3 linked regions of the Danio rerio genome follow. The protein of the gene in region 2 interacts with the protein of the main gene of each other region in a biochemical or structural test. Links are inferred from orthologs where the notes say so. Each region holds a gene or a part of one and is shown on either strand. Other genes may lie near its edges. The genes, in order: mlh3, msh4 and msh5.

Region 1 (3,660 bases), on a different chromosome or scaffold from region 2:
TTGTACTTCCCTTTCTGCCCAAGCCCAGAGCAGAAAGAGCCTTTAACTCAGGGACAGACAGCAGAGGTACAGCTCTAGACTGACATAAGGCCTGAAATCAGCTTTTCGGTGCACTTTAACTAATTGTTTTTTTTGTTACTCTTTAAGAGGATGCCCAAGCTCCCGATTCACTGTCGACTTTATTCTCAGAATGGCACAACCCTGTGTTTATACGACCACCAGAGGTAAAAAGTACTGAGTAAAATAGTGTGTGTATTAGGGTTGTCATGATACCATCAATTCAGACCAAGACACTATACCAGCTAAAGTATGACAATATCAAGTAGTACTGTAGTATCGATACTGCAGTAATTCATTACTCAAATCAGTTAGAAATACTATATTTTACAGTATATGTCATAACGCTTAAATTCAATTCAGAATTCCCTTATTATTGAAAATGTATTATTTGTACACACTTTCTCTGTTTATTTTTGTATACACTGTCACTCTTTTGTTGATATTACAATAATAATAATAATTAAATATATAAATCATTGATCACGCCGTATGATCTGTCATGACAGCACCAAACTACGACTCGTATGCAGACAGTTCAAGTAAAAGTAAAATAAAGTGGTCTATTAATTATTTTTGGCACAAATGTAATTACCAAAGTATTGTTTACATACTTCAGCGGCACCGCCAGTATTTTGGAGCCATAGTATCGCGGTGCTACCAAAGTACCAGTAAACCGTACAACCCTAGTGTGTTTATAAATAGTTTCACTATTATTTATTTACTAACAAGACCTTTTGGTAAAGTGTTACCTTACAAATTATTCTAAGCAACCTTACTCATGTGTTCTGTTGTTTATTTTGATAAGGTTGCTGTTGATGTAACCAGCGGCCAAGCAGAGGGTCTTGCTGTAAAAATCCACAATATTCTTTTCCCCTACCGTTTTACCAAGAATATGATCCACACAATGAGAGTAAGTATTGCCTATTGAAAGATTACACATTTCTTTAAATATATAAACTATGTTTTCACATTTTAAGATGCATTTTGACAGTATAATTGATCCTAAGTAAAGCATACAGCATTATGTCTCCATAGTGATGCATATTGTCAGTTCCAGGCCCAGCTGTGTCTTTTGTCTAACAAATGGCTGGGTGATACTTTCAGGCAAGGCCCTGAAAGCAAGATTTCTTTACTAAACCTGTAATGGCAGTTTCTTTTTTTACTAATAAGCACTGCCCACTAAATTGTGTATTTAACTGCGCGTAAGCTGCAGTAGTTAAGAGTTTTTTTTTCGATTAACGCCAAAGGATTCTGCTTTGAAGAGACCCGAAAATCACAACACTATCTTCTCTTTTTAGAACTTGTGAATCTGACACTTACTGACCATAGCCAGGTATTCATCCTAATGTGGTAAAATTATTCAAACAATTGGTCGAATCAAATAATGTTTTCATTTAAAGCCTGACTCTTCTGTAGTTGCGTCGTGTATTAAGTCTGACTATTCAACTCTACGGTTTAACTTTAGGGGAGCTGTACACTAAGCATTTAGTTTTTAAAAAAAAATGTGAAGTATGCCTTTAAGTCGTTAGAGTGGCTGACTGTAGTATTGGTAACCTAGTAACCAACTGTAAACAAGGCATGCATGTTTAAAGACTATAGAATACACAAGACATGGCACTCGTATCTTTTTAAATGCGGAAAAGTGTAACGATCAATATTGCAAATAAAGCCCGCCCTTCTAGTACAGGAATCAATCATTGATCGCTATAGACTGATGATACTCCGGGGGAGGGGCTTAGACCAGACGCGAGTTTCTGCAGATTTTGTGTGATTTGAACGCTTAGAAGTGAAACTAAAGACACAGGTGTTGTTTAATTTCATTGGTGATTCCTATTATGAAATTCAACCGTAAGCTTGGCAAATAGCTTTTGGAGAAATAAATGTTTCCCTATTCAGACAGACTGCCCGAGCATGCTGCCTGAGAGGTGTTTCAAAGATGGCAGCTTAGTGAAATGACTTGCCTTAAAGGGACTTTAGCATAATGGAGACAGGTGATTGGTCATGTGAGTGTGATGTCTGCTATGCTAGAGATTATTCAGCAAATTAATTTCCATTTCGCATTATTCACATACTTTTTTTTGCACCACCTCTAATGAGCAGAAAAGCTTTTGTGAATTTACTGAGTTTAAAATTATTTATTTATTGTATTTTGAAAGGATCCATCACTTGTTTCTTCTGTAATTCTTTAAAATGGACATTAAATCAGGATGATTTAACCCAGCTACTGTCACAAATAGGACTTTCCTTTAAAATGAATGTAAAATTGCTTTCTGTTTTACCCTTAGGTCATCAATCAAGTAGACAAGAAGTTTCTTGCTTGTTTGATAAATACAGCAGGGCAGAACACCTCTGAAAGCAGTACGGATGAAGGTATTGTGGGCTGAAAATCACAATGTTAAATGATTATATAAATCTAAACTTTTGTCATTGCTTCTCCTGGCAGGGAATCTTCTAGTGCTGGTTGATCAACATGCTGCCCATGAAAGAGTTCGACTAGAGGGTTTAATAGCAGGTAAATGATAGTGATAGAAGTAGATAAAAAGTACTACATAAAAAGACATTTTATATATTAGATAATAGTTAATAGCACCAAATAATCATATTAAATTGTTTTCAGAAGGAGTTGAAACTTTTGCTTAACAGTCCTCGAATCAAATGACATTAAATGTATTAAATACAGTTATTTAAAAAAATACTGTTTTACTGTAGATGCTTTTATTAGCATAAGAGATTTTTTCAAAAACATTAATAACCTTTAGACCCCAAACTTAGCTTATAAGAATATAAAAACAAAATGAAGTTCATATAAAAGCATTAAAAAGTCTAATACACATCAGGTGAGATACATCAAAGTATTCAATATATTTTTACAAACACTGCTTGTTTTTTTTTAATAGACTCTTACGAGGATGACCCAGACACACCTGGAAAAAAGAGGCTGTGTTCCTCACGTGTAACCCCACCTTTGGAGATTAATGTAACCGAGGAGGAATTGAGACTTTTGAGGTCAGTGCAGCTGTTTGAGTCAGCATTCCTGAATCCACCGTCGTCTCCTTTTTGAAATGTACATGTGTGCTCAATTAGTTCTGCACCCTCGCCCAAACAAAATGGTGTCATAAATCTTTCTTTTGTTCTTCAAGGTCTTGTCAGGGTTTCTTGAGAGGTCTTGCGTTAGATGTGAGGTTTCCGAAAAGTGAGTCACTGAGTGTGTTTTTGGAGAGTCTGCCCGCATGTTTCATAGAGAAAGAAAGCACAGAGCTCCGCCGTGGAAGGCGCTCGGTAATTAAAACCATTGCAGAGGTCAGGCTCAGTTCTTATTAGTTTTTTAACTGATTTAAGTTCAGTTTAGAGTCATATACTGTGTGTTTTATCCCGCAGGACTATCTGCGAGAACACATTGAGGTGAGCTGCCATGTAGAGATGTGATTTTTATATCTTTCTTTGAACAAAATACTATAAATTGTATGGTTTTGGAGCTTGAAGTATATATTTATGACCAATTTTGTTCTTTTGACTTGTGTTTGCAGCTTCTTCGCTCAACAGGAAGAGTGAGAGGAATTCTGCCTCTGACAGTACATAATGTGCTTGCCTCTCAGGCTT
Region 2 (3,660 bases):
CTGAAGCAAAAATAACACAAGTTATTCAGCTGAAGCACATCGTGGAACTGGTCCCATCGCTCAAGGTGTCTTTTGTCTATACATTTTTGATCAATTTTATCAAACAACAGTTACACATAAATCCATGACCTGACTAATGACTCATTTGTTTTTACTATATTTTCAACTGCCAATAATGTAAATTCAACATTAAAGGTCCCGTGAAGTGCTTTGAAATGTGCATTTTTATTCAGTGTTTGACGTAATCTCAACTGAAACACGAATGGCCCTATCATACACCCTGTGCTATTGTTGTTTTCCACCACATTGTTTAAATAGCAAATCCATTGCTATACAAAGCAGGGTTAAAGTCCAGCGCAGAGCGTGTTAGTTGTGCTCATTAGACGCATACGTATTGCTTAAAACAATACGCAAATATCTTCACAATTGAAAAAGAATTAAAAGATTAAAATATTACAAAAATGGTCACTTTCTACATAAATATAAAAACCACTACCTCCTCTCGGGGGCATTTTTCAGTTAATTCACGACAACTTGCTTTTAGTATAATGTTATTATTATTACTAGTAATATTATTTATTATATGCATATTTATATTTGTTTTATTAAAAACAAACTTAGATTTGTCCACCTGTTAGGTTTTGGACCATATGGGGCGTAGGACGTGTGTTTGGATATAACTAGTTTTTTGACCACACTTCATTGTTATTGCTTGTTTATTCATTTGCTGGAAATCAGAATGCGCTTTTTTCCACTTACAAAGTCCGCCATGTAGATAGCAAATGCACCATGGTGCAACGCAACTGACTCTTGAAGGGAATAGGAGAGGAGACTCTGATTGGTTTATTCTCAAAATACACCCATATCTCATTAAGAGAATAAGCACAACCCGGTTAGACCATGATCTGCAGTGCAGAGCGTATTTTTCCGTCCTTAAATTAGCAAAAGAGGATTCAGAAACGCCCTTAATGGTTTTGAGCCCTGCGCTTTAGACTTTGCGCATAGATCGTAAAAGTTGTAAGATTGTAAAGCGTCTTGAAGGGGCGGGGCATGTCAGAGCATTTGATTGGTCAAGATTTGATGAGAAACTGAGGTGACGTGAAAAAAAACATTTATCCATTTAGGCGGATGTGACAAATGACAAGCTTTACAAGTTTATAGCAGTTATATCTTTTAAACATGAATTTTGTCATTGTTTTGGAGCACACTAGCTAATAGATATCCTAAACACTAACAATACTAATTTTAACATCTAAAAAATTTTAAGAAATGAAATTAATTTTAATTTCATGGGACTTTTAACTGACCTGATTTACTATTGTTTTTGTTATTTTGGAAAATCATGATTTTAAAAATAGCATAAGCTTTGTAACAATATCAGTGTTACAGTTATTTACTGATTGTATTTTCTGACTTGCTCGAGAAAGCCTAAAAAAAGGCACAGCTGCAAGGATACCACATAACAGTAATTACATTTCTCCTTGATTAGGTGATGCTGCAACATTCTACAACGCACTTGCTGACAGCGTACTGTAAATCACTTGAAGACTGCAGGTAATCATATTCATGCTGTCAGCTCTGTGAAGTATATACAGTATTTGCAAATCTGCACACATCCGCACTGACCATGTTAGTTTAATATGAAGCATCAGCTTGCTCTGTAAGCAGAGATAATAAGAATGTTTTGTACATAGAAATAAAACAGTGGACATAGGATTGTGCATATAGAAATAAAACAGCTCATACTTTCATATACAGTTAAAGTCAAAATTATGAGAATATTCTGTGAGTATTTCTTTTTCAAATATTTCCCAAATGATGTTTAACAGATTAGGGAATTTTTCACAGTATTTCCTATAATATTTTTTCTTCTAGAGAAAGTCTTATTTGTTTTATTTTAACTGGAACTAAGCAGTTTTAAATTTCTTAAAACCATTTTAAGGTAAAATTATTAGCCCCTTTAAGCTAAATCTTTTTTTAATTTCTACAGAACAAACCATCATTATACAATGACTTGCCTAATTAACTTTAACTTGCCTAATTAACCTAGCTAAGCCTTTAAATGTCACTTTAAGCTAAATACCAGTGTCTTGAAAGATATAGTAAAATATTATTTACTGTCATCATGGCAAATGTAAAAGAATCCAGTTATTAGAAATTAGTTATTAAACGTATTATGTTTAGAAATTTGTTCTTTCTGTTCAGCAGAAATTGGGGGAAAAATATATAGGGGGGCTAAAGATTCAGGGGGCTAAGAATTCAACTGTACAGTATGTATACAGTCCACCATGTTTATTGTTTCTTATTCGTGTTGATTTAGGTTTAACAGCATTCTGGATCATATCAAATCTCTGATTAATGATGACACCAGCTACATGAAAGGCAGTTTGACCATGCGCACGCAGAAGTGCTACGCTGTGCGACCCAACGTCAGTGAATTTCTGGACATTGCACGAAGAGCTTACACCGAGGTGGTAGATGACATTGCAGGTGAGCCCTCTAAAGTACACTTATGTGTACAGTTACATAATATGTAGGTGATGTCTATACATGTGTACATGTTCAATTGTGTGTATTAGGTGAATGGATGTGCAGGTTATTGTTGAAGGGATAGTTCACCAAAAAATGAAATCTCTACCAAAAACCAGTTTCAGTTTCACTCTTCTGTTGAAGATGTTATTTTGAACATTGACTTCCATATTAATTGTTTTTCTACAATGGAACTCAGTGGGTACCATCAACCAGCATTTTTAAAATAACCTCTTTTTTGTTCAAGTAAATGGTGAGATACTTTTTTATTTTTGGGTAAACTATCCTTTTAAATGGCAATTCATCAGCTTTAACTACTCCAGATTGCACAATTTTCCAAGGTAGGAGGAAGTATTACTGATATCTCTGCCTGGTCTACAAACATTTCATAATAACATAAAGGAGAAGTGATACAAGAAACTACGCAAGTTCACGCTTAAGACATGCAAGATTTCATTTACTCATTAAAAGGGAAAAATTGAAGAAAGAAGAACTTTTATTAAAGTAAAACTTGCTGACTCTGACTCCTCCCCCTGATCTTCCTACTTCATCATGTGTTGTAGGTTGCAAATATAATTTCCAGCCAAAACACATTGAGTCACAGTCAGAACCATATAATCAGCATTTTCATCTCTCAAAAAGGGTTGTTTAAATTACACTATTGTCACTAATAATCTGAATGACCACCAGCTTATCATGAATCGGTCTGCTATTTACACATAACTATTAGTAAGGAAAAATCTGATTCAAAACTACTTTCATGATGACCTGGTTTGCCAAATGCCACAATAAGTTTTGCGGTTTATATAGTAAAACTTTTCATATTCCAGCCTGTTGACAACATGTTATTTATGAACTTCAGCATTATTGTTGTGTTGTGCTGATCAGGATTAGTGGCTCAGCTTGGAGAGAAGCACAACCTTCCGCTCCGGACAAGTTTCAGCAATGCACGTGGCTTTTTTATTCAGATGAAGCTGGAGGGGGGAGCCTTGCCTGGTGGGAAATTACCAGACGAGTTCATCAAAGTGAGCCAAAGTCTTTACAATCCTTAATAAGTGTTCAATATATTATATATACTGTACAGTTTTTTTCAATTGCTTCGGTGTATTTCTGACAACAATATTTACATTT
Region 3 (3,660 bases), on a different chromosome or scaffold from region 2:
TGTTTAACCTAATTGTTGACACTGAAGCTGTTAGCATAAAGGTTGAGGGGTTTAATTCCATGTTGAATTGACCCAATAAATGAAGAGTCACCGAGGTTGCCATTGCGCCCCTGAGCAGGCCATTTGACCCTCATCTTGCCCCAGGACGGATGTTCCTGTAATTAGTATACTGCAGTGTTACTAAATGACAAGCAGCTGCAACGGCTGCACTAATGACTGTGACATCTGGGTTAGCAAAAGCAGCAAGCAGTGCAGTTTGATTCAATAGCAAAATAAGGTTGTAACTGAAGTAAAACAAATTGGTGCCACCAAACAAATATACTAAAATTATGATTGTTCCCAAACAGGTTTCCCATAAACTTTTATAGTCATTCTTGTTTCTTGGTTCATGCAAACAGCAAGTCCAAATTCATGCTACAGGTGTGATATCTCTAGACATTTTGGGCTGATTAAACAAATTGCAAATTTAAAAGACTGAAAAAGTTTTGCAATATAGAAACATAGACATCAATATTGAATGAATATGTCATGAATATTTACTGAAAGTCATGGAATTTTAGTAGGAAATGTGCATGTACCATGTACAAAGTATGGCAACGATATAACCATCGTTTATTCATACTTTCTTATGTAGTTGCTGGGTTTATTTCTAGAAAAACTTTAGAGCATTAGAATCCATTGCTACTTCACCAACGTCACTTTAGAGCTAGTATTTAAATGATTCTGTAGCGTAAAGTCTAAAGAGTGGCCAACACAAAATATATACATTCCTGATATGTGAGTCTTATCTCACACTCAATACACTACAATTACTCTGGTACTATAAATACAGCACTGTAACATAAAAGAGAGAGAAATCAACTTAGAATGTAATTATTATGTGGTCTTTGTCGCCATCTTGTGGATGGACAAAAAAGCATCTTTGCTCTGCTCAATGACAGGCTGATGAATGCTGACGCACTGTATCTCAGAAATTATAAATATTTAAAATAGGCATTATCCTTATAAATAAACTACATAGTTGCAATCTAAACAGCTACATTCTCGCCTCAAAGGTAAATTATGTTTTCCAACAGCAGCAACATTTGTCAAACTGTAGTTAGTTTATTGATCAGTCGTCATTCTATGTGGGCAGAGTAATACAGAAGGGTGAGGAGGCTGTACGAGTTCTGATATTGCATATTGCAGAATATAGCACGGCTATCAGCCAATCAGATTTGAGAACCAGAAAGAACTGTTATATGTTTATGTGTGTATATATATATATATATACACATGATAACATTTTTGTATTTTGTACCGCTTTGGATGACAGATTGGATTTTTACTGACTGTGCCAAGATTGCCCAGTATGCTGGATAAACAGAGCTTTGAGATTGCTGGTCTTGATTTCATTGTGAGTATGCCAGAATCTTTGTTACAAGGCAACACAGTATTCAGTTGCTCAGTTTTTGGTTTTGGTTTAAACTGGTAACCCAAAGTGTGTATACATTTTATACAGCATTTCATTTAGCTTAAATGACATATGTTCATACTCCAATCAGGCTACATTTTGCTTTTAATTTCACTCTTATGTGTGTCTTGCTAATTTTGGCCCTTGCATGCAATCTAATTACTGTTTAAGATTAAAGATACAGTTTCCTTTCAAAAGAACTGGGCTTAATTGGTCTTATCACAGAAATCTAATATGCACATGCTGAGTAAATACTCCAGGCCTTTTTATATTTGACTTATTAAAGCTTGAGGGTTTGGTTGAAGAACATTTTTGAGTTTGTTTGTGGATTATTTCAGTTTCTGTCAAAGGACCAACTGCATTATCGCAGCACTCGGACCAAAGAGCTGGACAGCATGCTGGGAGACCTGCATTGTGACATCCTAGGTCTTTCTTTCTTGCATGCATTCTTGTTTGCTTGTACACTCCTAACAATTTCTTGTTGAATCTAAAGTAACCTACTGGCAGCAGTTTGCCAGTAACTTACTGTAAATCAATTACAACAAAAATATTGTATTTACATTTATAACACAATTTATCTTGCTGTATATGCATTTTCAGTATTGTATTTATTTATTATAAAATATACAGTAATTTCCACAATGCAATTTCAAAATACAGTAACATACTGCATAACTGTCCTACAGTAAAATGCAGTTCGTATTACAGTTAAATACTGTGTAATTTGCAAAAAATTGTATGCAAAAGTATGGATCATGAATACATTTACTGCACAAAATCCTTTACTGTGTTTTTTAAAATGGTATAATGGTAAAATGGTGTTTGTGTTCCAGATTTGGAGATGGCGGTAATGAGAAAACTTCAGGCCTCAGTGCTTCAGCGGAGTGACTGTATGTATAAGGTCATGTCTCTGTGTGCAGAGCTGGACTGTCTCATTGCTCTCGCTCAGGCCTCTCGGGAACACGGCTACTGCTGTCCAATACTGACAACAGAGCACAGACTGGCCCTGATCGAGTCTCGGTACAATTCTCATCGAATTACTGTACAGGAATATTACTTTTTTCTTCTTCTTCTGTTTATAAAAAAATCTCTATCTTGTCCATTGTTTCACTTTCAGACATCCTTTGCTGGAGTTGTGCACTTCAGTATTTGTGTCAAACACCTACATCAGCTCTGAAACGGAAGGCAAAGTGAAAGTTATTACGGGGCCAAATTCCTCGGGAAAGAGCATCTTTCTGAAACAGGCAAACACAACTAGAAACATTAGAGACATTCATTTAACACTGTGCATTAAACATAGTTAGATACTATAGACATACATATAGATATTTTTTCAGAATATTCAAAGCAAAGACTGTTTATACCAAGACATTTTGCTCGTAGTACTTTGAATGGGGGAAAGTGCAACACACCATATGGCCAATAGTTCCTGCCATATAAATAAAAGGGCAATTCAGTCAACTGTTTAATCCATTGTGTCATTGAACCTTTGATTGCAAAAGGGCATCTGTAGAGTTATGGGCCTACACTGAAAAAAATATTTTCTTACTTTGAGGTTTTGTGTTGCTTGTAGTCCAAATATCTTAAAATAATTTAACCAAAAAGGAAAATGTACTTGTTTTAATTTAATTTAATTTAATTTAATTTAATTTAATTTAATTTAATTTAATTTAATTTAATTTAATTTTATTTAATTTTATTTAATTTTATTTTATTTTATTTTATTTTATTTTATTTTATTTTATTTTATTTGCTTAATCTATTGGCTGATTATTTTGGTTGTTTTATGTCCTAAAACAAGACAAATGTTTTTTTTTTAAACAAATCTTGAAAATGTTTCTTTTTAGAGATATTTGTACTAGAAACGAGACAAATCTCTTACTAAGAATATGTGTTTGAATATGTTTTTGCAGTGTAATATTTTTGTAATAGGGTTAATTCAAAGCAGATTTCTTTTAAATAGCTGAGCTAAAGCATGTTATAAAGGGATAGTTCACCCAAACTGAAACTTTACTCATGATCTACTCACCAAACCTTTAGTTTCAAACCTTTAGAGTTTATTTATTGTGCTGAACACTAAAGAAGATATTTTGATGAATGTTGGAAACCAGTAAACACTTAATTCTATAGTAAGCAAAACAAATACAATAGAAGGCAAGGGTTACAGGTGTCCAGCTTTCTTCATAATATCTTGTTTAGTGTTCAAC

The links.
Region 1: the proteins of msh4 (region 2) and mlh3 form a complex in vitro, tested with the Homo sapiens proteins (2 studies listed by BioGRID). The link is inferred for Danio rerio from reciprocal best matches to the Homo sapiens genes MSH4 and MLH3.
Region 3: the proteins of msh4 (region 2) and msh5 form a complex in vitro, tested with the Homo sapiens proteins (2 studies listed by BioGRID). The link is inferred for Danio rerio from reciprocal best matches to the Homo sapiens genes MSH4 and MSH5.

What each region holds. Positions count from the first base shown.
Region 1 is NC_133198.1:27,533,930-27,537,589, forward strand, and holds part of mlh3 (DNA mismatch repair protein Mlh3), read left to right. Parts: coding exon 1-66; intron 67-147; coding exon 148-224; intron 225-865; coding exon 866-970; intron 971-2,345; coding exon 2,346-2,430; intron 2,431-2,503; coding exon 2,504-2,572; intron 2,573-2,957; coding exon 2,958-3,066; intron 3,067-3,200; coding exon 3,201-3,360; intron 3,361-3,438; coding exon 3,439-3,462; intron 3,463-3,587; coding exon 3,588-3,660. UniProt on the Homo sapiens protein: Probably involved in the repair of mismatches in DNA.
Region 2 is NC_133192.1:48,891,776-48,895,435, forward strand, and holds part of msh4 (mutS protein homolog 4), read left to right. Parts: coding exon 1-65; intron 66-1,489; coding exon 1,490-1,554; intron 1,555-2,320; coding exon 2,321-2,490; intron 2,491-3,417; coding exon 3,418-3,554; intron 3,555-3,660. UniProt on the Homo sapiens protein: Involved in meiotic recombination. Required for reciprocal recombination and proper segregation of homologous chromosomes at meiosis.
Region 3 is NC_133190.1:42,658,675-42,662,334, reverse strand, and holds part of msh5 (mutS protein homolog 5), read left to right. Parts: intron 1-1,315; coding exon 1,316-1,396; intron 1,397-1,791; coding exon 1,792-1,879; intron 1,880-2,286; coding exon 2,287-2,473; intron 2,474-2,570; coding exon 2,571-2,697; intron 2,698-3,660.